Callithrix jacchus: one gene and its partners. The protein of the gene in region 4 purifies or fractionates together with the protein of the main gene of each other region. This does not show direct contact. Links are inferred from orthologs where the notes say so. Each region holds a gene or a part of one and is shown on either strand. Other genes may lie near its edges.

Evidence for each region.
Region 1: the proteins of STX12 (region 4) and SNAP23 purify together in Homo sapiens (affinity purification with mass spectrometry; 3 studies listed by BioGRID and IntAct, counting the BioPlex papers as one, with this or other methods). This does not show direct contact. The link is inferred for Callithrix jacchus from reciprocal best matches to the Homo sapiens genes STX12 and SNAP23.
Region 2: the proteins of STX12 (region 4) and STX10 purify together in Homo sapiens (affinity purification with mass spectrometry; 3 studies listed by BioGRID and IntAct, counting the BioPlex papers as one, with this or other methods). This does not show direct contact. The link is inferred for Callithrix jacchus from reciprocal best matches to the Homo sapiens genes STX12 and STX10.
Region 3: the proteins of STX12 (region 4) and NAPG purify together in Homo sapiens (affinity purification with mass spectrometry; 3 studies listed by BioGRID and IntAct, counting the BioPlex papers as one, with this or other methods). This does not show direct contact. The link is inferred for Callithrix jacchus from reciprocal best matches to the Homo sapiens genes STX12 and NAPG.
Region 5: the proteins of STX12 (region 4) and VTI1B purify together in Homo sapiens (affinity purification with mass spectrometry; 3 studies listed by BioGRID and IntAct, counting the BioPlex papers as one, with this or other methods). This does not show direct contact. The link is inferred for Callithrix jacchus from reciprocal best matches to the Homo sapiens genes STX12 and VTI1B.
Region 6: the proteins of STX12 (region 4) and VAMP4 purify together in Homo sapiens (affinity purification with mass spectrometry; 3 studies listed by BioGRID and IntAct, counting the BioPlex papers as one, with this or other methods). This does not show direct contact. The link is inferred for Callithrix jacchus from reciprocal best matches to the Homo sapiens genes STX12 and VAMP4.
Region 7: the proteins of STX12 (region 4) and SNAP47 purify together in Homo sapiens (co-immunoprecipitation; 3 studies listed by BioGRID and IntAct, counting the BioPlex papers as one, with this or other methods). This does not show direct contact. The link is inferred for Callithrix jacchus from reciprocal best matches to the Homo sapiens genes STX12 and SNAP47.

The regions. Positions count from the first base shown.
Region 1 is NC_133509.1:30,176,359-30,180,384, forward strand, and holds the start of SNAP23 (synaptosomal-associated protein 23), read left to right. Parts: upstream 1-1,226; 5' UTR 1,227-1,310; intron 1,311-2,738; exon of another isoform or gene 2,739-2,846; 5' UTR 2,847-2,943; intron 2,944-3,465; exon of another isoform or gene 3,466-3,591; 5' UTR 3,592-3,632; intron 3,633-4,026. UniProt on the Homo sapiens protein: Essential component of the high affinity receptor for the general membrane fusion machinery and an important regulator of transport vesicle docking and fusion.
Region 2 is NC_133523.1:11,969,157-11,973,114, reverse strand, and holds the start of STX10 (syntaxin-10), read left to right. Parts: upstream 1-1,158; 5' UTR 1,159-1,270; coding exon 1,271-1,305; intron 1,306-1,546; coding exon 1,547-1,716; intron 1,717-1,860; coding exon 1,861-1,955; intron 1,956-2,319; coding exon 2,320-2,382; intron 2,383-3,219; coding exon 3,220-3,327; intron 3,328-3,958. UniProt on the Homo sapiens protein: SNARE involved in vesicular transport from the late endosomes to the trans-Golgi network.
Region 3 is NC_133514.1:52,336,881-52,340,911, reverse strand, and holds the start of NAPG (gamma-soluble NSF attachment protein), read left to right. Parts: upstream 1-1,231; 5' UTR 1,232-1,426; coding exon 1,427-1,593; intron 1,594-4,031. UniProt on the Homo sapiens protein: Required for vesicular transport between the endoplasmic reticulum and the Golgi apparatus.
Region 4 is NC_133508.1:64,484,230-64,487,451, reverse strand, and holds part of STX12 (syntaxin-12), read right to left. Parts: intron 1,953-3,222; coding exon 1,880-1,952; intron 767-1,879; coding exon 684-766; intron 1-683. UniProt on the Homo sapiens protein: SNARE promoting fusion of transport vesicles with target membranes. Together with SNARE STX6, promotes movement of vesicles from endosomes to the cell membrane, and may therefore function in the endocytic recycling pathway.
Region 5 is NC_133509.1:102,650,717-102,654,041, reverse strand, and holds the end of VTI1B (vesicle transport through interaction with t-SNAREs homolog 1B), read left to right. Parts: intron 1-811; coding exon 812-873; intron 874-2,280; exon of another isoform or gene 2,281-2,494; coding exon 2,495-2,591; 3' UTR 2,592-2,825; downstream 2,826-3,325. Other genes in the region: ARG2 (arginase-2, mitochondrial), read right to left, coding at 3,052-3,257. UniProt on the Homo sapiens protein: V-SNARE that mediates vesicle transport pathways through interactions with t-SNAREs on the target membrane. These interactions are proposed to mediate aspects of the specificity of vesicle trafficking and to promote fusion of the lipid bilayers.
Region 6 is NC_133519.1:30,968,479-30,972,437, reverse strand, and holds the start of VAMP4 (vesicle-associated membrane protein 4), read right to left. Parts: upstream 2,801-3,959; 5' UTR 2,620-2,800; intron 1-2,619. UniProt on the Homo sapiens protein: Involved in the pathway that functions to remove an inhibitor (probably synaptotagmin-4) of calcium-triggered exocytosis during the maturation of secretory granules.
Region 7 is NC_133520.1:38,626,444-38,629,943, forward strand, and holds part of SNAP47 (synaptosomal-associated protein 47), read left to right. Parts: intron 1-2,995; coding exon 2,996-3,108; intron 3,109-3,238; coding exon 3,239-3,500. UniProt on the Homo sapiens protein: Plays a role in intracellular membrane fusion.

The DNA of each region.
Region 1 (4,026 bases), on a different chromosome or scaffold from region 4:
GCGCGGTCTCGGCTCACTGCAACCTCCGCTTCCTGGGGCTCAACCGATTCTCTGCCTCAGCCTCCAGAGTCCTGGGATTACAGGCGCCCACCACCAAGCCCGGCTAATTTTTTGTATTTTTAGTACAGACGGGGTTTCACCGTCTTGGTCAGGCTGGTCTTGAACTCCTTGACCTCGTGATCCACCCGCCTAGGCCTCCCAAAGATCGCAGGCATGAGTCACCGCGCCCGGCCCTTAAAGCAAATTTTAAGGTTTCCCATGGGATTTACAACAGTACTAAACTCTTAGTAAGTACTCAAAAGTTATTTGTGGTTTGAATAGGCTGGATATAAACCATTACGGTGGATACAGCACTTGTTTGCTAAGCAAGAGAACTTCCCTGACCTAGAATGGCAGTCTCAAGTTGCTAAAAGCGAATCTCGAACTTCTCAACAAATCTTACTCTCAAAGATGATTAAACAACAAACTGAAATGGGAGGAGGGTGTAAAGCGTTTCCTCTCCATAACTATAAACCGAGATTCTGACTAAATATTAAATGAACACAGTAACCGCTCCATAATTAGTTGCCATTATTAAGATACATCACACACGGAGAGAAAGGAAAGGAGAAAAAGGAACGAAGGTTGTCAGTCGCGAGAGGTTGAAATGTGTCGCGGGACCTGAGACTACCGGCTTTAAGCACCAGGGTCTTTTGGACTCCCTGCCCAACTGAGGACCGAAGGTCAGCGGCTTCCCCTAAAGGTCAAGGCTTTGGAGCCACATTTCCTTCTGGGGCTGGGAGCAGAGCTGGAACGCCCCCACGAAAATCCGTACCCCGAAGCCAGCAGCACCGCCTGCCTGTAATCCCGCGCCGGCTCTGGGAGAGTGGACCGCTGGGTTACCCCTGCGCCGCAGCCTGCCGGAGCAGAAAGCGGGCCGCGTCTTGCAGCCACACAATCTCCCTAAGGGACAGACCACCAGGACCCTTGGGCTCCAATACGCTCAACGCAGGCCGGCCCATCGATACTCACATTCACAGCCAACCCCTCTTACTCCATCAGGCCGCCGAGAGACAGGCGAGGGAGCTCCCTGACGCCCCAGACTCCCCCCTTCAGTTTTGGGTCCGGGAGCCTGCTCCGGACCCGCTCCCCGCCGGGCCCTGCCACAGCCGCCGCCAGCGCGCAGGCGCACAGCGAGGCCGTCACGCTCTTTTTTTTCCTTTGCCTGCAGCCGTTCTCAATAATCTAGCTTTATTTGAACACAAGAGAGTGAACAACGGACACACAGGAAGAGGTTTTTCTCAAAAAGAATGGAGGAAGAACAAAGGCAGGTCAGCTTGCGGGAGAGTCGGTCCGCAGCATTGGACGCTATGAACAGTCTCCCTGGTCCCTTTTTCATTTTCTTTATTTCTCCTTGTTCTTTCCCGGCCTCCCTCTAGCTCCTTCCTTGGTGTCCCGCCATTTCCTTTAGTCAGTGGCAACTGTTCAGGCTAAAATTTGAAATAACTCCTTCCTTGTAAAATTTACTAAAATTTAATGGGAGGTGCAAGAGCTTTTAGGACAGACCTGCCCGAGTTTCAGATCTCGGACTAGCTACTAATAATTTACGACTTTGGGTAAATTAAAATTTTTCTTGGAACCTCAAGATCTTGAGTTAAAATTAGGATAATGTTGGGCCAGTCACGGTGGCTCATGCCTGTAATCTCAACACTTTGGGAGGCCGAGGTGGGTGGGTCAGGAGATGGAGACCATCTTGGCCAACATGGTGAAACCCCTTCTCTACTTAAAAAAAAAAAAAAAAAAATAGCCTGGTATGGTAGCGGGCGCCTGTAGTCCCAGCTACTCAGGAGGCTGAGGCAGAAGAATCGCTTGAACCCGGGAGGCAGAGGTTGCAGTGAGCCGAAATGACGTCACTGCACTCTAGCCTGGCAACAGATCATGACTCGGTCTCAAAAAAAAAAAAACAAACAAAAAACCCTAAAATTAAGACAATGTTATCTCACAGGGTGTTGCTAAAATTAAATAACATAGGTCAAGTGTTTTATCCATGAATGCTGCCTATCACAGAGCAGACATTCCATTATAACTGGTTTTATTCTTACTCATGCCTAAGGTATTTATAATTTTTTTTTTTTTAGGTAGAAACGGGTTTCACCATCTTGCCCAGGCTAGTCTCAAACTCCTGGGCTCAAGTGAACAGCCTTCCAAAGTGCTGGATTACAGGTGTCACCCACTGCGCCCAGCCTACATTTATTATTATTACTGAGACGAAGTCTCACTCTGTCATCCAGGCTGGAGTGCAGTGGCACTATCTTGGTTCTCTGCAACCTCTGCCTTCCGGGTTCAAGCAGTTCTCCTGCCTCAGCCTCTCAAGTAGCTGGAATTACAGACATACACCACCATGTCCAGATAATTTTTGTATTTTTAGTAGAGATGGGGTTTCGCCATGTTGGCCAGGCTGGTCTCAAATTCCTGACCTCAAGTGATCTGCCCGCCCCGGCCTCCCAAAGTCCTGGGATTACAGATGTGAGCCACTGTGCCCAGCCGCCTATATTTATTATTAAACTTAGCTCATACCCATTCCCTCAGAGCCGTAATTTTAGTGACTGAGACTAATCAGATAAAGGAAATGACATTAAGGTTGATCATTATGTGAAGTGTTCCTCTTATATTATTGAGATTATAACATCTCTGTTTAACCAGACCGTCAATGCCTCAAATAAAAGTGAGCAGTTACATTCATCTCTATGTATATCCAGATTTGCTTCTAGAGGTTCAGGAAACTTCCAGTTCTGTGTTTGTGACATCACAAGTCCTTGAAACACTCAAGGGCTATGGTATGCTGCTCATTTTACTCTCCTTCAAAGGCATGCAATGGAAGAACTATTTTGCCCTGTAAACTCTGGCCCATCGTTCAAGGAAAAGCCTTTAGAAGACCACAGTCAGATATTGGTGATTATTAAGGTAAGCTACTTTAGTGTTTGTCAACTTTGGGATTACTGACATTTTTGGAACATATACTTTTTTGTTGTCAAGGGTATTATGTGCATTATAAGATGTTTAGCAGCAGATCGGGAGCACTAGCTCACATATGTAATCCTAGAACTTTGGGAGGTCAAGGCAGACAGATCGCTTGAGTCCAGGAGTTTGAGACCAGCATAAGTGACATGGTGAAACCTCATCTCTACAAAAAATATGAAAGTTAGCCGGGTGTGGTAGTACACACCTGTACTCCCAGCTACTTGGGAGGCTGAGGTGGGAGGATCTGAGCTGCAGAGGTAGAGGTTGCAGTGAGCCAACATCACACCACTGCCCTCCAGTCTGAGCAAGACCCTGTCTCTCTTTCTCTCTCTGTCTGTCTCTCTCTCTCTCTCTCTCTCTCTCTCTGTGTGTGTGTGTGTGTATGTGTGTGTGTGTGTGTATGTTTAGCAGCATCACTGGACAAGATGCCAGTAGTATCCACCCCCCATTTCCCTGTTATCACAGACATTGCTAAATATCCTCTGGAGGACAAAAGTGTCCCTGGTTGAGAACCATGGAATTATTATCAATGACCATCCCAACCCTAAATGAACTCAACTGTGCATTTTCTCCACCTCTGCCCTTGAAAAGTGACTACTGCTTGAGAAAGCTACACAGGAAGGGAGAAAATGGTGAGTTCATTTTTGCCCATATTAAAAAGGCCCTCAGTACTGCTTACCAGTCCTACAATGTTTTTCTATCCATTTCTTGTATTACTTTCTACAATATTCCAAATCTTCTCAACTTTCCTTTAAACTCCCAATACTATCTCCTTTTCTGTCAGATGATCCTATCTCCAACCTCACAGAGAAAACAGGTCATCAAATGAGAACTTTAACTTCCTTTTACTAAACATACAAACAGACACATTCTTCCTCTCATAATTGGGGAAGGAAGTATCTTCACTCTCTCTCTTTCTCCCTCCCTCACTTCTTCCAAAACCACTCCTCTCACCAGTGCTTTGAACTGCCTCGAAACTGCTGCTATTCTTACCCTTTCAAGAACTTTCCCTACTGACTATCCCTT
Region 2 (3,958 bases), on a different chromosome or scaffold from region 4:
ATCCCTGTCCCCCGCCCCACAGTGATCTGTCTTGGGACACCCTCCCGTCCTGCCCTCCCCCCGCAGGTGGGGACTCAAGAATTATTCCCCCCAAAAAGACCCTTTCTAAACTTGTCCCCATTCAACGAAGCTGCCACCTGAGGAAGACGCCCCCGTCCCCACCCCAACCTTACCACGGAGACCCCCACAGTGACTTCCCCAGCCCAGGCACCAGGCACTACCTCTGAGAGCCCACACAACAACTCTGACGCGCAAGGGGGCGACCCTCTGAGGACTCCCTCAGACAACCCGCCCACCCTCCAGGGGAGACCAGGCCCCCCACCACTCAAAACGTGCTTTCTCAAGACTCCCCTCACCACCCAATACACAGAGCGCCACTGTCACACATAGGGTGACACTATGAGTCCCTTCGCTGATACTCCTGGCCCCTACCCAGAGGGAGACCATCCTCAAAGCCACCATCACACCTCCTGGGACACCCAGGCTCAAACCCAGAAAGACTCCGCGCTTCTAATGAAACCCACCACCACGCGCGCCCTTGAGGATGACCTTCCCCCGCCTCTGGCATCTCTGAGACCCCCTCTCAAGACCACCTCGCCCCAAGGCGACCTCGAAGTTCCCTCAACTTCCCCACTTCTCAGGAAAGAGAGACTGGGAGAATGCAGCAGAACTCCCCGCACAAGCAAGTCCCCTCCTCACTCCGCCCCCGCAGGGAGAAGAGTACCACCTCTCCCTACACCATGCCCAAACCTGAAACTCGGGACCCTGGACTGGGACGATCTCCGAAGTGCCAGCTCAGGGAGTCCATGAAAAGATTCAACGAATGGAATGAACCCCTTCCCCAGCTATAATCCCCAACCGTCAGAAATAAGGGAGGCTATCATTATTTACATTGCCCGTGCCCGGAAGGGAAACTGAGGTTGCGCAGCAACAATCCGAGGTGTTGGGTCTCGAACCGAGATTCCGAAGTTGGACCCAAACAGGCCCAACCAGAACTCGGACACCGCCCCCTACGGGGCGGCACACAGGGGGCCAAGGGGCGGAGCATATGGACCGGAAGCTGCCTCTGCCCAAAACCAAGATGGCTGCAGAGAGGACGGAAGTGTCTGCACTTCGGGCCTCCGAGGCCTCTCCTTCTCCCCTGGCGGTCCCGCTCTCGATGGTGACGTGACGGGGGCGGGAGTGGCGGCGCGTTCTCCTCAGCTGCGAGGCAACCAGCCAGCGAACCCAGGCCTGGAGGGGGTTCGGCCTGAGGGGGAGGGAGACTGACATGTCTCTCGAAGACCCCTTTTTTGTAGTCCGAGGGTGAGTGACAGCGACGGGGGCGGGCGGAGGGTGCTCAGTCCCCAAGTCAGCCAGTGCCCGGGTGCTGGCCCCAGCATGCCAGGCGGGCTGGGCAGGGCCGTCGGGGTGCAGAGTGGGAGGCGCAGGCAGGGGGATACTGGGGTCTCCGGAGTCCCCCATGCGTTTGGGTTTGCAGTCGGGGGCAGAGGCGGGCGGGAGGACCGCCTGCCCCCAGCCGCGCCCGCCGTGCCCCTGCCCGCAGCGAGGTGCAGAAGGCGGTGAACACGGCCCGCGGGCTGTACCAGCGCTGGTGCGAGCTCCTGCAGGAGAGCGCGGCGGTCGGACGCGAGGAGCTGGACTGGACGACCAATGAGCTGCGGAATGGCCTGCGCAGCATCGAGTGGGACCTGGAGGACCTGGAAGAGACCATCGATATCCTGGGGCTTTGGGGCGGGGGTGGCATGGGAGAGCCCCCTGCGGTGGTAGGGGCCTGGGAGGTCGCCCTCGGGAAGGGCTGGACCCCTAGGGAGGGAGATGATGTCTGGCTCTGGCCTTGACCCTTGACTCTCAGCCCACGCATAGTGGAAGCCAACCCAGGCAAGTTCAAGCTCCCGGCCGGGGACCTGCAGGAGAGAAAGGTGTTCGTGGAGCGGATGCGAGAGGCCGTCCAGGTGCGCAGAGGTCCTGCAGGCGGGGTCTTTTCTCTCTTTTTTTTTGAGATTGAGTCTCACTCTGTCGCCCAGGCTGGAGTCCAGTGGTACAATCTCAACTCACTGCAACTTCCATCTCCCGGATTCAAGCGATTCTTGTGTCTCAGTCTCCTGCGTAGCTGAGACTACAGGAGCCCGCCACCATATCTGGCTATTTTTTTGTGTTTTTAGTTAGAGACGGGGTTTCACCGTGTTGGCAAGGCTGGTCTCGAACTCCTGACCTCAGGTGATCCACCCAACTTGGCCTCTCAAAGTGCCGGGATTACAGGCATGAGCCACGCCCAGCATGAGTGTCTTTCCTCCCTAATGCTGTCTTCACCTCCAGGAAATGAAGGACCATATGGTCAGCCCAACAGCCGTAGCCTTTCTGGAGAGGAATAGCAGAGAGGTAAGCCTTCCTGAGCACCTGGGGGTGACCACGCCGTTGAGTACGAGCCAGATCCTTCTGCGTGTGTTCACCTGTCCCTTCTGTGACAGTGCCCATCCTGTGTGCAGTTGTCTTCTTGCTGTCTACCTGCCTGCACTTCCTGGGTGTGTGCACCTGAACCTCTCTGTGTGTGTGTGTCCATGGGTTCCTCTCTACTGTCTCCTCTGGCTGTATCCTGGTTTCCTATTGCAAAGGAGGATTGGAGGCCTGTGTACCCCTCTCCTTTCTGCTTCCATACCATTTGTCCTGTATACAGCTGTTTCCAGGACGCATGCCTGCCTTTCTCTCTCTCTCTTTTTTTTTTTTGAGATGGAGTCTTGCTCTCTTGCCCAGGCTGGAGAGTACAGTGGCTCAATCTTGGCTCACTACAACCACCGCCTCCTGGGTTCAAGTGAGTCTCCTGCCTCAGCCTCCTGAGTAGCTGGGATTATAGGAGTGCACCACCACACCCTGCTAATTTTTGTATTTTTAGTAGAGACAGGGTTTCACGTTGGCCAGGCTGGTCTTGGACTCCTGACCTCAGGTGATCTGCCCACCTTCACCTGCCAAAGTTCTGGGATTACAAGCATGAGCCACCATACCTGACCTGCTTTCTGCATTTTACAGATGAATACACTGAGGCACAGAGAGGTCAAATAATGGGGTCCCTGGGTCACCTTGTTAGTAGGTGGTGAGTGAGGATTGCAGGCTGTCCCACGCCAGACTCTGCCTCCCTGACTCAGCACCGTAGGGCCTTGCCTCACACGCCCTACTGTAAGTTGGTGTCCCTCCCCAAGTCTGTGTTCTGTGTCCCTGCAGATGCTGGCGGGCAAACCAGCTGCCCAGAAGTCACCCAGCGACCTGCTGGATGCCAGCGCCATCTCGGCCACATCTCGCTACATGGAAGAACAGCAGGCCACACAGCAGGTTTCGGGGCAGGATGGGTAGATCCTGAGAGGGAGGAGCCTTGCAGACCCATCTGAGGTCTGAGGTCCCTTTCTTTCTTCTTCTTCCTTCTTTTTCTTCTTCTCCCCTCCCCCATTCTTCTCCCCCTTTTCCTTCTCCTTTCTCTCCCCTCCTCCTTCTCCTCCTCCTACTCCCTCCCTCCTCCTCTTCTCCATCTAACTCCTGCTCCTTCCCCTCCCCCCTCCTTTCCTTTTTTATTTTTTTGAGATGGAGTCTTGCTCTGTGGCCCACACAGAAGTGCAGTGGTGCGATCTCAGTTCACTGCAACCTCTGCCTCCCAGGTTCAAGTGATTCTCCTGCCTCAGCCTCTCAAGTAGCTGGGATAACAGGCACCCACCACAATGCCTGGCTAATTGTTTTTTTTTTTTTTTTTCCTGAGACGGAGTCTTGGCTGTGTTGCCCAGGCTGGAGTGCAGTAGCGTGATCTCAGCTCACTGCAACCTCTGCCTCCTGGGTTCAAGTGATTCTCCTTCCTCAGCCTCCCGAGTAGCTGGGACTACAGGTGTGCTCCACCATACCCAGCTAATTTTTATAGTTTTAGTAGAGACAGGGTTTCACCACTTTGGCCAGGAAGGTCTCAATCTCTTGACCT
Region 3 (4,031 bases), on a different chromosome or scaffold from region 4:
AGGAATGGCAAGGGAAAGTAAAGTGGGCTGCTTGAAACTGACACTAGGGAGGGCATGCAATTATGAGTAAGGCCAAGGATGTGACCCTGAGAATGTGTGGCTGCTCTGGTGTGGGAAATATCACAGGAGGTGGAAGCTGAGAGGCTGTACAGGCATTGCAGGAATCATCCATGTGGATACTGACATCATCATGAATTATGAAGGGAGCCAACTGTATGACTGGTTACTATTTCTACCAGACCACTGTACGCGACCTTATGCCCCTCGACTTTCCGTTTAGAGCACTTATCACGGCTTCAAATATTAGAGCGATTATTTGGGCCGGGAGCGGATTTTTTGACAGTAATCAGGGCTTACAAGTCTGTTTCGTTTCTTGACTGACATACGATTAATACCCAAAAGGTAGAATGGATGGATAGATGAATACTATTCTAGCTGTGATACAGAGAATCTTCAGATGTAATAAGTTATAAGGCCAATTAACCCTACAAAGAAGACCCACGGTAGTTTCACATTTATGAAAAACTCCTGGTGCAAGTCTTCAAGAGGACGGGCATTTTTGCTGATTTTCTCGTGTCTAGAATAGTGCCTGACATATTAGGTGCTCTGTAAATACTGAGTGAAAGAATACGCCCCATCAGTATCTCACCGCGCCTGCGCCGGGTGCCCTGGATGGGGCCAGCCTTGACGCACCGCGCTTGCGTGATGTCTCTTTGCAGGGCGCAGCGGCCAGCTCCCAGCCCCGCTTCGCCGCAGTAGCTTGAGCCCTCCGGCCCTCCGTAGCCGCTCGGCTGTGGCACCGCACCAGCTTCCTACTCGGCGTTCCCACGCCTATTCGAGTAGATTCTCGGCGCCCGAGGAAGAGGTAGGCTCATTCTTTCTCCACGTCACAGACCTGACTGTGGAGATGGCGGCTCAGAAGATAAACGAAGGGTTGGAGCACCTCGCCAAAGCAGAGAAATAGTGAGTGAGACGCCGGGCGGGCCTGTGTGTGGACGCCCAGTCCGTCTTTCACAGGCGCGGCCTTAGCACCCGGCTGGACGAGAGGGCGGGCACGGGGCTGAGGGGGCTCGGCGCGCTGGTGCCTGCGGGGCTGCCGGGGCTTGGTGTCCCCGGGGTCGCACTCCCGGGGTTCCACTCCCAGGGTTGCGCTTCCGAGGTCAGGGTCGGGGTCAGGCCTCCAGCGCCTAGGGCAGCGCCATGGGTCCACCCAGCCGGAAGTCCGCTCCTCAGACCCGGTGTGGGCGGGGACCCGGCGCAGTGCTGCGGAGCTGGTCTCTAAAGAGGGCTTCTCTACCTGGGCGCTGAGCTTCTGAAGGCTTCTTGTGGTGGGGGCTGTTTCTGTATCCGAGGCTCGTTAGCAGCATCCCTTGCCTCTACCTGCTACGTGCCTCTCGCACCTCTTCTCCATTTATGGCAACCAAAAATGTCCTCTGGGGAGCAACATCGCCCAGTTGAGAACCACCGCCCTAGCAGAGGCCCTTGTGTGGAGAGGACCATAGATTTACCCCAAAAACTACTCGGTGAACCTTTGTCATCTGGCATTTTACTGTTCCAGTGGGCCACGACTGTGCTTCCGTCGTCCTTTGATGTGTATGTTCTGCCATTTCTGGTACAGTATGTAATAGGCACCCAGGAAATGTTCGTGGGACTGAACTGATTCTCCTTAAATCATTATTTTGGCACCCCCCAGGCTCCCCCCGCCCCCCGCCGTTTCATTACTCCAGCTCATTTTTATCTGACGGGGTTAATGAAAAGTCGGTGCTGTGTTCTATGGTGGGTGCTTCACATACGTAATTTCATAAGCTAAGATCTTCACAGTAACTGCCCAAATAGAGATTTTCATTTTTCGTAAGAGGAAATGAAGCTCATAGAAGCCTCATAATGACTTACCCCAGGGTGCGCAGGTGAAAGATGGCAGAGCCAGTTTTCAAACACTGGAAAAACTCAAACCCTTTCTATCACATGACTCGAGGCAAGCAGTGTGTAAGGTACTGGGGTTCTCCTGGTGCAGGAGGTTTCCACAACAATCTGACTTTCTAGTGGGAGCACACGTAAAAATTGAAGTAAGAATAAATAGTGTGTGGAATAGGCACCACAAAAAAGCTGTATGAACTGTGTAGGTATCATAGAGGGAGAAGTTTGTTCTGCCTGAGAAAATTTAAGGAAGAGATGATTTGTGAGCAGGGCCTGAAAAATACAGAATGTTTTAGACAGAGGGAAAATCCTGTGAAAGAGATTCTGTGCACAATCTGTAGTATGTATCATACACTGGCCTGAAAATGTGCTCTGGGAACAGTGATTGTAGTGTACTTACAGTGACGGGAAAAACTGGAGTGAAGAAGAGTTGGAGCCAAAGTGTGAAGGGTCAGCTTCTCAGATGGCTTTTGTAGGCAACTAACCAGTGGACCCGGCCAGATTTGTTTTTGGTGAAGAAAGAAATGTGGCAGCAGGCCGGGTGTGGTGGCTCTTGCCTGAAATCCCAGCACTTTGGGAGGCTGAGGCGGGTGGATCACTTGAGGTCAGGCATTCGAGACCAGCCTGGCCAACATGGTAGAACTCTGTCTCTAATAAAAATACAAAAATTAGCCTGGCATGGTGTCGTACGCCAGTAATCCCAGCTGCTCAGGAGGCTGAAGCAGGAAAATCACTTGAACCCGGGAGGCAGAGGTTGCAGTGAGTGGAGATCATGCCACTGCACTCCAACCTAGGAGACAGAGGGAGACTCCGTCTCAAAAAAAAAAAAAAGAAGAAAAGAAAAATGTGACATTAATGTAGAGAATGGACTATGGGGAGAGGGTTGGTCGGAGAATTTTGACATATTCAGTAAACATTTACAAAGTTGTCACTGTGTACCTGTACCATCCACTGAGGATACTGGAGTAACCAAAAGTGGTGCCTTCAAGACCTTAGAATTCACAGGCAGGCAGACAAGTGAACAGAGGAGTAAAAATAAGATGTTCAGTGCTAGAATGGAAGTATTCATTATGGTATGCTGGAGATATGAAGCAGGGAAAAGGTAATATGCTCAGGGTGTGAGGAATGGAAGAGGAGGAAAGGTGACTCTCCCATGAAGGTGGTGCCAGACATGTTAGCGGGTTATTGACTTCAGGGAAGAGTTGGTAATGGCCTGAATTCAAGTAACAGTGCAGGGGTAGGATTGGGTGACATTTGTCAATAGGGTTGACATGCTTTAATAACCTGCCTGCTTATAGAGACGAAGGCTTAACTCATCTCTATAAGGTTTCTAACTTGAGAGATGGAGTGGGAGAGGCCTTCAGCCAAGATAGGGGATATAGGTTAATGGGCATGATTGGTGGGTTGATCTGGGGCAGGGAGGTGGGGTGGGGAGGTGTGGGGTTCAGGCTCGTTGCTAGTTTGAAATGCTGCTAGACAGTTACTGAGTGAGTAGCAGGCAAAATGGGCCAGGAGCTTAGGAGATATTTGATTCTTCTCTGTTTTCTAATGATGATGCAGTTCAATATTGCTGAGTAATTTTGTAAATTGATTCCTGTACACAGATGGTAATGTTGCTGTTTTCCTTTTTTCTGTGGAAATTGGTTAGTTTCCTTATTGATTCTTTGGAGAAAAAGAGTGAAAAGGACTAACAGGTATAGCTATTAAACCTAAATTAGCTTTACGTCTTTCTTCCGCATTAGTGGTGTTCATGTGATTGGGATAGTTTTGCCCAGTTTTAAACTCTCTGGGTCTTTCCGTGTATAGCACATTAGGTGACTGAATGATTGTATCTGGTTTTTAGTGGGATTAAAAAAATTATGTTAATATTGATAATGTAGTGTTTGTTTTGGGATAGGAATGGAGGGTTCAAATTTTGCATATTTCCCTAATTTTGTGAATTAGAGTAGACACACCACAATTCAAGGATATTATTTTTCTGAGCAGTGAAATTCTTGGTAAGCTTGAAAAATTGCTTGTACTAATTTGAATCTTGTAACACTATATACACAAAGAAGTTTTAGATACTAAATATGTTAAATAAATAAATTTAATTGGCAAAAAATGTTACTTAA
Region 4 (3,222 bases):
TTTATTCATATATAAATAGCAGTCAAAGTTGCTATGTCCATCCTCTATGGCAACAGTCAACATAAATATCTATGAAGTCTTCTACTTTAACTTCTTACTATCCTAAGTGAAACACATTCAGCTGTTCAGGACATAAAATAGCCTTATGCCATATTTAGGTATCATGCTAGTTTATTTTTAAAAAATTTTTTGAGATGGAGTCTTGCTCTGTTGCCCAGGCTGCAGTGCAATGGCGGGATCTTGGCTTGCTGCAACAACCTCCGCCTCCTGGGTTCAAGAATGTGCGCCACCACGCCCAGCCAATTTTTTGTATTTTTAGTAGAGATGGGGTTTCGCCATGTTGGTCAGGGTGGTCTTGAACTCCTGACCTCATAATTCGCCCACCTTGGCCTCCCAAAGTGCTGGGATTATAGGCGTTGGCCACCACACCCAGCCTCATGCTAGTTTATAGGGTTAGCTTTGCAGTTAAGAGGCTTCTGGTAGGTTTATTCAGGGTTTGATTATTTTTTGTAGATCTATCTGCAAAGAAAAATACTAAAAATGGAACTGGGACTGCAATTATGACTACTTTCCTTTAGGTAAATATAAGCAAAAGCCTGTAGCTGTTCTCAATAATGTCAACGTACTCTGATAACCTAAAAAGTCTAAAACACAGAATGATTTTCTTTGGTATCCACTTTTACCTGATAATAAGCAGCTCGCTGTAACTGTTCAGTGGCTCTTTCAACATGTACCTCTGAGCTTTCCACATTGGCTTCTATGCTATCTGCAAAAGGAAGGACAGAGGATGTTTTAACACATTCAGATGTTTCAAGACTGCAAATTGAACAGATTTCTGATGTTATGGGTCTAGTTTCACTACCACCATCCAAACTATCCACCATGAAATCAAGTTACTACCTTGATAAGAGACTAGCCCTATTCGTTGGGAAAAAAACATCAAATTTTTGGGGGCTAGGAATTATTTAACTCACCCATAAATGATTCAGAAAAAATTATGTATATACTCATAGACAGAGAAAGAATACATAATAAAGCAAATGGGATAGAATGTTAACAGGAGGTAAATCTGGGTAAAGGGTATAAAGAAGGTCCTTGTAATATTTTTATTTTTGCTACTTTTTTTTTTTTTTTAAGAGCTAGGATCTCACTCTATCACCTAGGCTACAGTGTAGTGGCACAATCATAGCTCACTATATAGCTTCAAACTCGTGGACTCAAGTGATCTTCCCACCTCAGCCTTCTGAGTAGCTAGGAGTACAGGTGAATGTTACTATGGCTGGCTAATTTTTTTGTAAAGACAGGGTCTCACGATATTGCCCAGGCTAGTCTTGAACTCCTGGCTTCAAGTGATCCTCCTGCCTTAGCCTCCCAAAGCGCTGGGATTATAGGTGTGAGTGACCATGCCCAGCCTATTTTTGCAACTTTTAATAAATTTGAAATTATTTCCATGTAGAAAGCTTTTTAAAAAGCTTTAAAAATAGAGTTACCCCATAATTTTGCAAGTTTGTAGAGATAAAAGCTGGGAAGCTGACAGCTATTTCTCTAAACAAAGACTTACAAAGAAACAAGTCAATGGGACTGAATATTCCCAAAACCTCACTTTAATTTCTACATTTGATAACATAAGGAAATTGCCAAGAAAAATAAATTTGGTAATTTTTAAAGTGGCATTCCTAAACTCACTTTAATTCTATAGCTGATATGACTAACTCCTTTTCTTACTTTTTTTTAATAGACAGATTCTCATTATGTTGCCCACGTTGGCCTCAAACTCCTAGGTGATGCTTGAGCCTCAGCCTCCTGCGTAGCTGGGATTGCACGTGCATGCCAAATACTATCAACTCACCTTGAGGTTAAAGCTTTCAATAATACATACCAATCAGATCACCTTGGTCATGGATCATCATGGCCAAATCTTTAAATATCTGATTGACATCCAAAATGTCAGCCTAAGGAAGACAAAAAAACAATTAACATTAAGTAACATGTTAGAAGATTTGTTTCCTTCACGTACCTAAAGTTTAGCTATTAACACATGTGTTTTTAAGGCTATATAAAGCAAGCTTTCTCCATAAACAGAAAATAATCTATTGCTGCCTACCCAGTATTGTAAAACTGAGGCACATAACCTTACCCTTTAAGCAACTTTAACTGGACATGCTACATGGGAACCAGTAAGATTCCCCAAGTCAAACAGTACAGCAGAAGGCTAGAGTACTGATATAGACAAATTCCTGGTGTCATAGCCCTATGTGGAGGCTGCTAGGCCTTTTGTGACAAAGGCCAGTGAGTACCTCTCTACGACAACCACTGGGACTGTGTACTGCAGAATTTAAATGTTTACACAGGATCATGCTATCTGAGGAATGCAAGGAGGAGCGACAAGTAAGGAGCCTCTTTTCCCCTGGGATTGACTCTGGAACTATGTGAGGAATTGCTGGATTCTATCATCACTGGACAATGCCCTATAGGAACTCCCAACTGATGGACAAAATCTGATGGTTTGTGGATAGGAGTTCCAAGGAGAATGGACTACATCCTGTTTGCTGCTCTGATCAAAGAAGGTAAAAATAAATCAGCTTGGTGGGCTGAACTGCAGCTTGTTTTCCTAACAGCAGTGGAAGAACTGAACATTGGCAAAATCCCCTATATTTGGGTCTTTCCCTCCCTCCCTCCCTCCCTCCCTTCCCTCTCCTCTCTCTCTTTCTTTCCTTCCTTTCCCTCCCTCCCTCTTTCTCTCTCTCTCTTTTTTTTTTTTTGAGAGTCTCGCTCTGTTGCCCAGGCTGGAGTGCAGTAGCACAATCTCATCTCACTGCAACCTCTGCCTCCTGGATTCAAACAATTCACCTGCCTCAGCCTCCTGAACAGCTGGGATTACAGGAATGTGCCACCACACCAGCTAATTTTTGTAATTTTAGTAGAGACAGGGTTTCACCATGTTGGCCAGGATGGTCTCGATCTCCTGACCTCTTGATTTACCCACCTCGGCCTCCTAAAGTGTTAGGATTATAGGAGTGAGCCACTGCACCTGGCCACCCAGCTAATTTTTGTATCTGTAGTACAGATGGGGTTTCACCATGTTGGCCAGGCTGGTCTCGAACTCCTGACCTTGTGATCCACCCGCCTGGGCCGCCCAAAGTGCTAGGATTATAGGTGTGGGCCACCGTGCCTGGCCTCTTTCTCTCACCCTTTTTCTTTCTTTTCCTTTCCCCTTCTTTC
Region 5 (3,325 bases), on a different chromosome or scaffold from region 4:
GCAGTTGAAAGTTCCATGGAGGTTAATTCCTTTCACAATTCAATGTAACTGTCTCTTAAGAGGGTAAAGAAAAAAGATAACGAGATCCCAAAAGCAGTAACACACTAACCTACAAATACAAATGCAGCCAGACGTGGTGGCTCACGCCTGTAATCCCAGCACTTTGGGAGGCCAAGGCAGGCAGATCACGAGGTTAGGAGTTCTAGACCAGCCTAGCCAATGTAATGAAAACCCTGTCTCTACTAAAAAAATAAAAATACAAAAATGAGCCAGGCATGGTGGCAGGCACCTGTAATCCTAGATACTTGGGAGGCTGAGGCAGGAGAATCGCTTGAACTTGGGAGGCAGAAGTTGCAGTGAGCCGAGATTGCACTATTACACCCCAGCCCAGGTGACAGTGCAACACTCTTTCTCAAAACAAAAACAAAAAGCAAATGCCACCTCAAGAAGCTGTCCTGAAATCTGGCTGATGAAATTCAGATCTTAAGTTCCTCTGCAGTCACTGGTTGTCCAATCTGCTGGCTGTACTTGAAGGCTTCCCTTTTGGAGTAGCCATAGTGAAAGATTAGCTCAGTCTCAGGAGTCCATCCCTGGCAGCAACCTAGGAATATAATGATTCGTAAGCCTACTTAATGAATACTAAAATATCTTGTCCTTTCCAGGTTCTACTTATACGCAAAGGCCATCATTTAAATTGGCTTGATTTCTTGGAATTTTTCAACAGCCCTTAATGCCCACTGTTAATCTAGGGATATTAAAATTGTACAGAATGTACTTTTGAAAGGAAATAATCACTCTTTTCTCTTCTCAGCTGGTAAACACAAGTGAAAACTTGAGCAAAAGTCGAAAGATTCTCCGTTCAATGTCCAGAAAGTAAGTTTTTAAAAGTCATGAAATTTGTCTTAATGTCTTTCAACCAAAAAGCTTAAAATAGTGACTTACAAAAGTCCTAATAAAGCACCTCAGCAGTTGATGCCAGATAGTCCCCGTATACTCAGTGCTACCCAGCAGATCAGAAGAAATACACTAAGGAATATGGTCTTGGATAAGTAGCTCAGGATAAAATCATTTGTTAAAAGAATATACTGCTTTGACTTAGAGCAGTGAAAAATTTCTCCACTGAAAGGACATTTAATCACAGCTGATGTTCGTTAGAGAACGCAGCACGTGGGAATAACAGAGCTTCCTATTCCTTGAAATATATTTGTAAAATCTCTATTAGAAAGCAGTTTTCACTTGCATAGTACTTGTGTTTTGGCTCTGTTTGCCCTTCATGGGAGTCAGCACCTTTTCTGGAAGTTCTGTCTTGTTAGCAAGAAGTAGATTTTTAAAAATAAAACCCTTAGGGAGTTGTCAGGGTTGGTGGGCATTAACTGAGGCAAGATGCTGTAGAATCTGCTGGCACTGCCAGATTGCCCAGAGGACCTGGAGCATTGCTTCACACAGGCATTTTGAAAATGAAGCTCCAGGAAACACAAGCTGTTTCAGGAGGAGAACGGAATTCTTGGCATCTAAAGGGTGGTGGAGCTGATGACCTCCTATATAGAGCCACCATGGTTCTCAATTGGTGAAGCAGCATATGCCATGCATCATCAGTTGGCTATGGTTTCATTTCCCAAGAAACAGGATTGACCAGTCATCACAGTGACTTAATTCAGTTTCATTCAGCTCTCTATGGACTCTTAGTCTGATAAATAGCCCTTTTTGAAGATCTCTAAGCCCTTCTTTGAAGATCAATATTTGAATTGTACTAACTGCCACCAGTAAAGTAGTCTTTACCAAAAGTAAAAAACAAAACCCTTGTGCTAATAGCAACAAATCCAGGGCAGAAATATTGCCACTGAGGTTGAAATTGGGTTTAAGAGAGGATTGTGTGTGACCTTGTGTACAGGTGGCCTAGCATAAAACAAAACTACAACTCAGTCATGTAACTAGCAGGAGGGGTGAGATTTTTCTACAGTGGTAAATTCTTTGTGGAAGAGGAAGAAGCCTAGAGTGAACATGAGAACCAGAGGTTGGATTTTTAAGCTCCTGTACTACCTTTATAACATATCCATTTGGGTTGATAGGAGAGCAAAGGGAAAAATAGGGCAGAGGAATAGAAGTTTACAAGGGATTGAAAGGTATTACCCAGGCTTCTAAGTTACTTTATCCTAGGGCAGGACCCATTCTGAACAGGATGTATATTTGATTACTTTTTCTCGATAACCCCTCTTTCTAGAAAAGCTATTTTTAAAGGAAATAACTACTGTTTGAAGACATTTCAGAGTCAAGAAATCATTTTTGTGCTTTGGTTTTTATTGTCTCAGTTTAACATTACTGTGAGGTAGACAGTATTATTCCTAAGTGACAGCTAAAGAACCTTATATGTACTTCCTGCTAAGTGGCTGTGTGATCAGACAAACAGCCTCAGAGTATCCAGCCTTGGTCCCAGGTCAAACCCCAAAGTAGGTTATCCAAAATTCTGACTACTCCCCACTTTGTTTCTTTGTAGAGTGACAACCAACAAGCTGCTGCTTTCCATCATCATCTTACTGGAGCTCGCCATCCTGGGAGGCCTGGTTTACTACAAATTCTTTCGCAGCCATTGAACTTCCTATAGAAAAGGGTTTGTGGACCAGACTTTGACCTTGTGAATGCATGATGTTAGGGATGTGGATAGAATAAGCATATTGCTGCTGTGGGCTAACAGTTCAGGGGTGCACTGTGTAGCCAGACTGTGGGAGAAGGGAAGGAAAGATGGAAAGCCACTTAAATGTGAAGGAACAGCAACAAGACCAATATGATATACCAAGGTAATAAATGCTGTTTATGACTTCTTTAAATTTACATAGTACTGTAGCATATTAATACCCTGTGAACTGCAAAAAAAACCAAATACATTTATAGTAGTATTGGTCACCAAAATAGAAGGGAAACTTTACATTTGTGAGAATATGCAGATATTCTCATTAAGGCAGTATTGACCAGACAGCCATTTAGTATCTGTCCCCTCAAATGCCTCATAATTCTGGAATGCCCATTGTGAAATATGTCAGTGCACAGTATCTCCTAAATTCTCACACGTGCTTGATTTTCCGATTCATCTGGTGAACTGGGAGTAGGAAGTTGGTCATAGACAATGTGCCCTCCTTCCCTTGTCTGACCAAAACTTGAAGCAATCACATCCACTGCCAGGTTAGCTGTAGTCTTTGCCTCTTCCTCTGAGGTGGCCAACTGAGGATTGACTTCTACAAGATCCAGTGCCGACAACAACCCTGGAAGAACAAAGTGTAACAAAACCTCAGATTCCTTTGCTGCTACTCAGTGAGGGTCATCCCACTGG
Region 6 (3,959 bases), on a different chromosome or scaffold from region 4:
CATAAAACCCAAAAAGGACAGGGTTCAGAGGGCTTCCTGATAACTGAACAAGTAGAGGGTTCCTGGATGGTGGCACACCTGGAGAGGGCATGGAAGCTCTGTACCCCCTGCCCTATGCACCTCTTCAATCTGGCTGTTGATCTCTATTTTTTTGTAATATCCTTTATAATAAACCAGTAAATAAAGTGTTTCTCTGAATTCTGTGAGCCACTCTAGCAAATAAATTGAAGACAAGGAATTTGGGGAACTCTGATTTATAGCCAGTTACTGGAAGCACAGGTAAAAACACCTGGAACTTGTGATGGGCACTCGAGGTGCAGAGGAATGTTGCAAGATTAAGCCCTCAACCTGCAGAATCTGATGCTATCTCTAGGTATAAAGTACCAATTGAATTAGAGGACACCCAGCTGGAGAACCTGATGCAGAATTGCCTACTTGCTCATGAGGAGAAATCTTTTTGGGGTCAGAGGAGTATTCTCTGTTGAGAGAGACTAGGAGAAATTCAGTTTTTCTTTCATCAAAACAACTGGATTAAACAAAGCTAGTTTTCTTTACTACAGAATGACTCAAATCCTCTTACATGCTAAATGCATTGTGACTTTCTAGGAAAATGCTTGCATATGCAACATATTAAAATTTTTTTTAAGAAAAAGTTGTTCTATGCAAATAATGAATTTTCAGTATTTTGGACTAGATGGTAGATGAATACCCAGCAATTAAGGATAGCTCAGAAATACTGAATGTTTTACTATATGCTAGGCACTGTGCTCAGTGATACACATGCATTTTCTTTTAGTCTTTATGATGCTTCTTTGAAGTAGGCACTAAGAAACTAGTAGAAAACTAAAGTTTAGTAACGATAATGTTAGTCACTACACTCATTGAAACGGCAGAGATACAGGCCTAAATCAATCAATGGCAATCCATTATCAGTTTTAATTATTTGTTCAATTAGTTGCCCATCAGGTTTACAGAATTCTGTTCTAGAGAGACTCATTTTCCGGTAACAACCCAATAGTCCTGTTTCCTTGCCCACAAGAAGCAGCATTTAGACCTTTAAATTACGTAAAATTAGACATCAGAAAGAATAACCCCAAAGTCTGGTTTCCTAAACCAAATAAAAGTAATATTTTAAGTTAGCTACTTGTCAAAACAAATGGACACAAACACTCTTCTTTGATAAGAAATGCTTCCAAATCAGAAATTATTCACTTGTAACAAAAAACAAACTCTTGCTGCCTAACAGCTCTTGAGTTCTTGGTTCCACAGTATTTGTCACATACATCTGGCCCTTTTATTCCTCACACTTTGATTTCAGAATAATTCATTTATGCAGAAATGTAACAGAATGCATGGAAAAAACAGATGACAAAGCAAATTACTGAAGAACTTGTGCTTTTAACTATATCTGTATTTAGATTTTAACCCCATGCATAGAGGCTGCCTCAACACCCCAAAGCAAACAACAGGCAGACTTACATAATGCGTTTATGAGACATATAGTAAAACTACAATCTTAAGGATGGGCAAACCTCATATTCAGGTCTCTCAATCCCAAGAAACCATGTCCAACAGATAGAAAACCCATCCGCAAAGCAGTAGACAGATTAATTAGCTACCTTGATGAAATCTGATGTTATTTGCAACTACTGATTATTTATTAGTATCTGATGATACGGGTATCCAACAACTAGTAGAAGTAAATAATGCTCAGAAAGGAGACTAGGATAGAGTCTGCTTAAGATTTCCCCTACAAAAAACATACGTGAATTCAGGTGTTGGTGACTAGGAATACATGTAAATAAGAGAGCCATCATGTACTTCCACATTGAGGACAGACCACCACTATACAATTCACTTACACAGTCACATCACCGTATGCTTCTTATGCATCAGCATATACTTAAACGTTTATGTATGAATTTTTGTAAGCAGTACGTTATTTAGTCAATAGCTTTGAATCTGGGCAGAGGCTCTCCTTTTCCCAGCCTCCATTCCCTTTTTAACTCCTCTTCCTTGTCTGTCATCAGCGTCTTGCTCGATGCAGTTTCATAGAAATAAAGTAACTTGGATGGACACAGACCAAAGATGTTATTAGCAAAACCTGTCAAGTGTAACGATTCACCCCCACCTTCTGGTCATTACAAACACAGCAGGGTTGGCGCTCTTTCTCCCGAGCCCTTTAAATACACAATTCGAAGCAGCTCTGCTCACCCCCCAACACCCAATCTGTCGCACCAGGCCACGTCCCTCGAAGTATCTGCTCCTAACGTTGGCCCTTCCTGCCCCATGGTACTCCCTGGCATTCCTGACTGCCTCCCACTCTTAACAAACCTTCCCCATCCATGGCACTGTTCTCTCCCCATCGCCCCAGAGTACCCCTCAATTCCAATTCTTCTCCCCTCAACTACTCCCCGTCCGCACACCCCTGTCCTCGTCTTCCTTCCTCACGGTACCCCCGGCCCCAGCTTTTTCCCACTCTGGGGTCCCTTCCTAGATCCCCGAGGCCGGCTAACCAGCCCAACTCGGACGTCGAGGGGCGGCGAGGCAGGGGCGTCATCTTCATTTCCTCCCTCCTCACAGCAGCCCCTCCGGCTGGGAACAGGCCAGCGCCAGTACCTGAGGCTCCCGGGGAACTCCCGGCAGCTCTCCCGGGCGGGCGGTGCTGGACGGGCGGGGGAAGGAGTGGGAAGCTGAGGTAAAAAGCTGGGAGTGGGGGGACGGTGGGTGCGGATCCGGCGTCGGCCGCAGCTCCGCAGCAGCGCCTCCGCTCACCGAGCCGATCGGCGCTCGGCGGCCTGGCGCCAGGCGGAGGGGGCGGGTCCAGGGCGCGGAGATAGTCGAGGAAGTCGATTCCGCCGGGCGCTCTTCACCTGGAAGAGCCCTGACCCTCAAGGATTTTAGATGCAGCTCCTCCCTGTGCTTTAGGGGATGAGTGACCACTGGTTCTCCAGGTTCCGGTCGGGATCCGGCGTGCGTGGAGGGCGTTTATGGGAGGGATGGGAAACTCAGAACTGCTCGGGTCGGGGTGCTGGCTGGGGTGATAAGGCGTTTACAAAGAAGGTAGTGCTTTGTGCCAGATCCGTCCCTCGGGCTGACTACGTTGGGTGGCAAGAGGAGGGTGGCTTGCGGCTCGAGGACCTGCTTCTGTTTCGTCTGGGGCCTTTTCTGAAGAAAGAAGTTCTGTTTGATCCCCTGTTTGCAGAATTAGAGCTGGACTTGGAAAGAGATTTTAATGGTTCCTAGGTCAGCCTCCTTTCTTTAGGTAGGAGAAATATCTGGTTCAGAGAGGAGATTGACTTAAAGTTACACAGCTAGTTTAGATAGATAAGGGACGGCGGCTCCGTGTTCTTTTCCCGGTATCCGTTAGTTGTAACCTGAAAGCCTTCAGGTTTCAGGGAAATCGCCCTTGCCTGGCCATTCCGCTGCTCTGCCCATGCTTCCCTCACTCCTTCCTCCTCCGCCCAGTTTGGTATCATATTTAGATCTCCAAGCCCACAGATGCTGGCTACCAAAAACAATTCCTAATTTTGTTTTTCCGTTCTCTTATTTATTATCCATTCCTCCCACGCCCCAGCTGGAGTATTTTACTCATTCAATCATATATCCACTATACATCTTTTAACATTAATACAGTATTTATGGGTCCTTTGTTGATATAGTATTTTAACTGTCTGAAATACCGTGCCAGGCTCTCTCCAAAGACAAAAATAAGGGCGTGTTCAGAAACAAAAGTAGACCAGAAAACAGCAGAAGATCTGAGGACACTAAAGGAAGAAATAGACACCTTCATAAAAAAGTTGCTCTTCGTTTGATGTGTAATTTTATGCAAACATGCACTAACGAATTTGAAAGATGCCATGACTAGGGCAATGATACTCAATGCTAAGTGATTCACTTGGAGTTGAATCACCTGGAAAGCTTTTAAAACCACTGTGGGTGGGGGGGCGGTGGGGAAC
Region 7 (3,500 bases), on a different chromosome or scaffold from region 4:
TCATAGAGGTGGGGCTGGAGACCTGGAGAGGGTCGTGGCCAGGGAGCCAGGGGCAGTGACTCACAGCAGGGCGCCTCTCGGCCCATGGCCAGGTCTAACTAACGTTTTTGTAAGTGAGGTCCTGTGGGGCAGTGGACCCCATGTCGGTGTCTTGTGGCCACTTTCACTCCACCCTGGCAGAGCTGTGTAGTTGTGGAGAGTGGAGACTGTGCGTGGTCCTTCATGGAGAATGTGCAGTGCCTGGCGTGGGAAGGCCAGGGAGATCTCGGGGCTGAGAGAGAGAGGGTGGGATCAGGGCCCCTGAAGGAGGGTCTGGCCTTGGAGGTGAAGATGGATTGCGTTCCCCCGTGGCCTCCGTATGGGGCCAGGTGTGTCACTGGGTGGGGGAATGGCTGTCCCTCATGGGAGCAGTGTCCAAAATTGGGATGCTTCTGATGTTCCGTGGGGTGTCCTTGCTTCTGTCCTCGCGCTTCATCTCTGTTTACTTAGGTTTTCTGGGAAGGAAGTCCTGGAAACCTGCGGCTGGAAAAGTGTGGTCACAAGTTTCTCCTCTGGCTTCTTCCTGGGTTGTTGGCAACTTGAATACTTTTTTTTAATGTTTATTGTTTAAAATGTGCTAACGAGAAGAGCCTTGGTTCTTCATGTCCTAATTTCTCGGTCCTTTCCCCCTTCTTTCTTTCTTTCTTTTTTTTTTTTGAGACAGAGTCTCATTCTGTTGCCAGGTGACAGGCTGGAGTGCAATGGCGCTGTCCCGGCTCACTGCAACCTCTGCCTCCTGGGTAGCTGGGACTACAGGTGCACATCAGCATACCCAGCTAATTTTTATATTTTTAGTAGAGACAGGGTTTCACCATGTTGGCCAGGATGGTCTGCATCTCTTGACCTCGTGATCTGCCCGCCTTGGCCTCCCAAAGTGCTGGGATTACAGGGGTGAGCCATCATGCCTGGCCTCCCCTTCTTTCTTTTTTTTGAAGAGACAGAATTTCACTCTGTTGCTCAGGCTGGAGTGCAGTGGTTCAATCACAACTCACTGTAGCCTCAACCTCCCAGGCTCAGTGATCCTCCTGCCTCAGCCTCCCGAGTAGCTGGGACCACAGCACCCCCAACTTTCTTTTTGAATTCAGAACATTTCATAGCTGGTGACCTTAGGCCTTTTACTTACTTTAGTGGTGGGTCCACAGGTCCAGAAGGTGAGGCGATCTTTCCAGAACTGTATACTGTGCTGCCACACCAGCCACAGGGCTCTTCAGGGAGCTTGTGCATAGTTTTACTCCGTTCTCCTGGAGTACCTCCCAGCCATGCCTGCTGAGCAGTGGTTAGCACAGCCTCACTGCCCACGCCGTGTCTGGCTCTCTGTGGAGGTAGTGGTGGTGAGGTGCGGTCCCTCCCCTCGAAGGCCAGGTGTGGCGGAGGTCTGGGCAGCCTCTTCAGCTGGGAGCACAGGCACAGCAACTCTAGGGCTGAGCAAGGAGGGCTGCGGCCCCTCCTGTAGCTACTGGCTTGCCTGACTTTGAGAACCAGGACTGAGTTAGTGTAGTTTATCCTCCTCCTAATTCTGAGAAGCAGATGCCTTTGTGTCCCTGTAGTCTGGGGTCTGCTGGGTGGCCTTGAAGTCGTTGTGGCAGAAAAACATCCATCATGGGTCCTGTGTGCAGCGTGCTGGGCCCTTGCCATTGCCTTGGTGGGGAGTGGGTGGCCCTGGACAGGGCGGGTCCTGTGTGCGGCCCACTGGGCCCTGGCTGTGGTGCTGGGGGTGTAAGTAGGTTGGCCGTGGTACCCTCCATGTGCTGAGTGCTGTGCCCCAGAGGGAGGGTGGACTTGGGCTGGTGTGGGAGAAGCTGGGTGGGGGCTCTTCCGTTGGCCACACGGGCAGTCTGTGGACTGGGGAGACTAGCCAGGCAGCCCCCACCGTCCAGTCACGCCTCCTTCCCTGTGGTCTGCATGTGACGACACATGGTGTGTTCTCCGATGGCTGTGTCCTCATAGAATGAGGGTCCCATTTGAGGCAAGCTCTTCAGGTGCAGGTGTGGCATTTCCTGTCCATATGTCTCGTCCAGCCCTGTGTTGCGGGACATGGTGTGTTGTGCAGCAATTACAGGGAAGACCTGGCTTCTGCAAGTACAACCGTGGTGAGCTGCAGGAGCCAGGGACTGGATCAGGGTGGCTGGTGCCCAGCAGGACATTTGACACATGGAGGGACTCATGAACATGTTGCCAGAATGTGGAGGCCCCCACAGCCTCTCTCTGTGCTGTGGAAAGCCCACACTTTTCAGTATCTGAAGGGCTTACACTGGCTGGCTGTCCTGGTTGTGTAAGTGAAGCCAGGTTGCAGTGAAATTCTGTGAGAGAGAGGTGGGACAACTGCCACCCTCCTGTGGTCCCCTCTCTGCTGTCAGAACCTTGGTGAGGCATCCCCGGCCTGGCTCTGGCCTGGCAGAGTCCTGCGCTCGTGTCTGGATCTCGCACAAGGCCCTCGCGTTTTCTCAACCTTATCTGTACGGCGAGAAGGTTGGGCTGCGTGTTCCATGAGGGTTCATTCAAATCTGTCATTCATGACTTTCCAGACTGGACTGATAAATGTAGATGTGAAAACATGGTAGGACCTGCAGCTGTGTCAAACTGTACACGCAGTCAGCTAATGCACATACGTGTTACCAGTCAGGTCTGTGGAGTGCTGTGTGGTTAGCTGGGGTTAGGAGAAAGGGAAACGCTTGTCTGCAGGATTGTTTCTCTGTGCAGCAAAGTTGATGAATGGCAGTTTCCAAAGGGGAATGAGCATCTAAAGGGAACATCATGGCCAAAAGACAGCACTCCTTGGAACGGTCTGAGAGTAAGGCCTGGGACTGAGGTCCGAGGCCCAGGGCCCTGGCAACGTCTCTAGCGATGCCCTCCTCAGGTCTCATCCAGCAGTGGACGCTGATCCAAGCAGGGTGGCTTTGCTGGGTGCAGGGGCACAGGGTGGTGAGGGGGATGACGGTGTGAACCCTCTGCTTAGGGGATGGGCATGAGTCTGGGGCTCAGGGTCCTGGTTCCAAACCAGCCCTCTTGTTCTGGCTGCTCCTCCTTCACCAGCTAAGAGGGCACATGAGCTTCGTCCTGCAGCCACAGGTGGGTAGAGTTAGCCGTGTGCTGCAGCCTGTGTGAGCCCAGAGCCGCAGGGGAGGTGGCATCCTTGTTGGGTTGCTTGTGTCTCCAGTCCATGGATGACAGCACAGCGTCACTGTCTCTTCTCCTTCAGAGGCAGAAGAGGCCTGGACCTCGGCTCAGGCAGACCCAGGAACAGATGAGCAGGGATGTCTGCATCCACACCTGGCCATGTACCTACTACCTGGAGCCAGAGAGGCGATGGGTTACTGGCCAGCTGTCCTTAACGTCACTGTCGCTCCGGTTCATGACTGACAGCACTGGAGAGACTCTGGTCAGCTTCCCCCTCTCCAGCATAGTCGAGATCAAGAAGGAGGCTTCGCATTTTATCTTCAGCTCCATCACTGTCCTGGAGA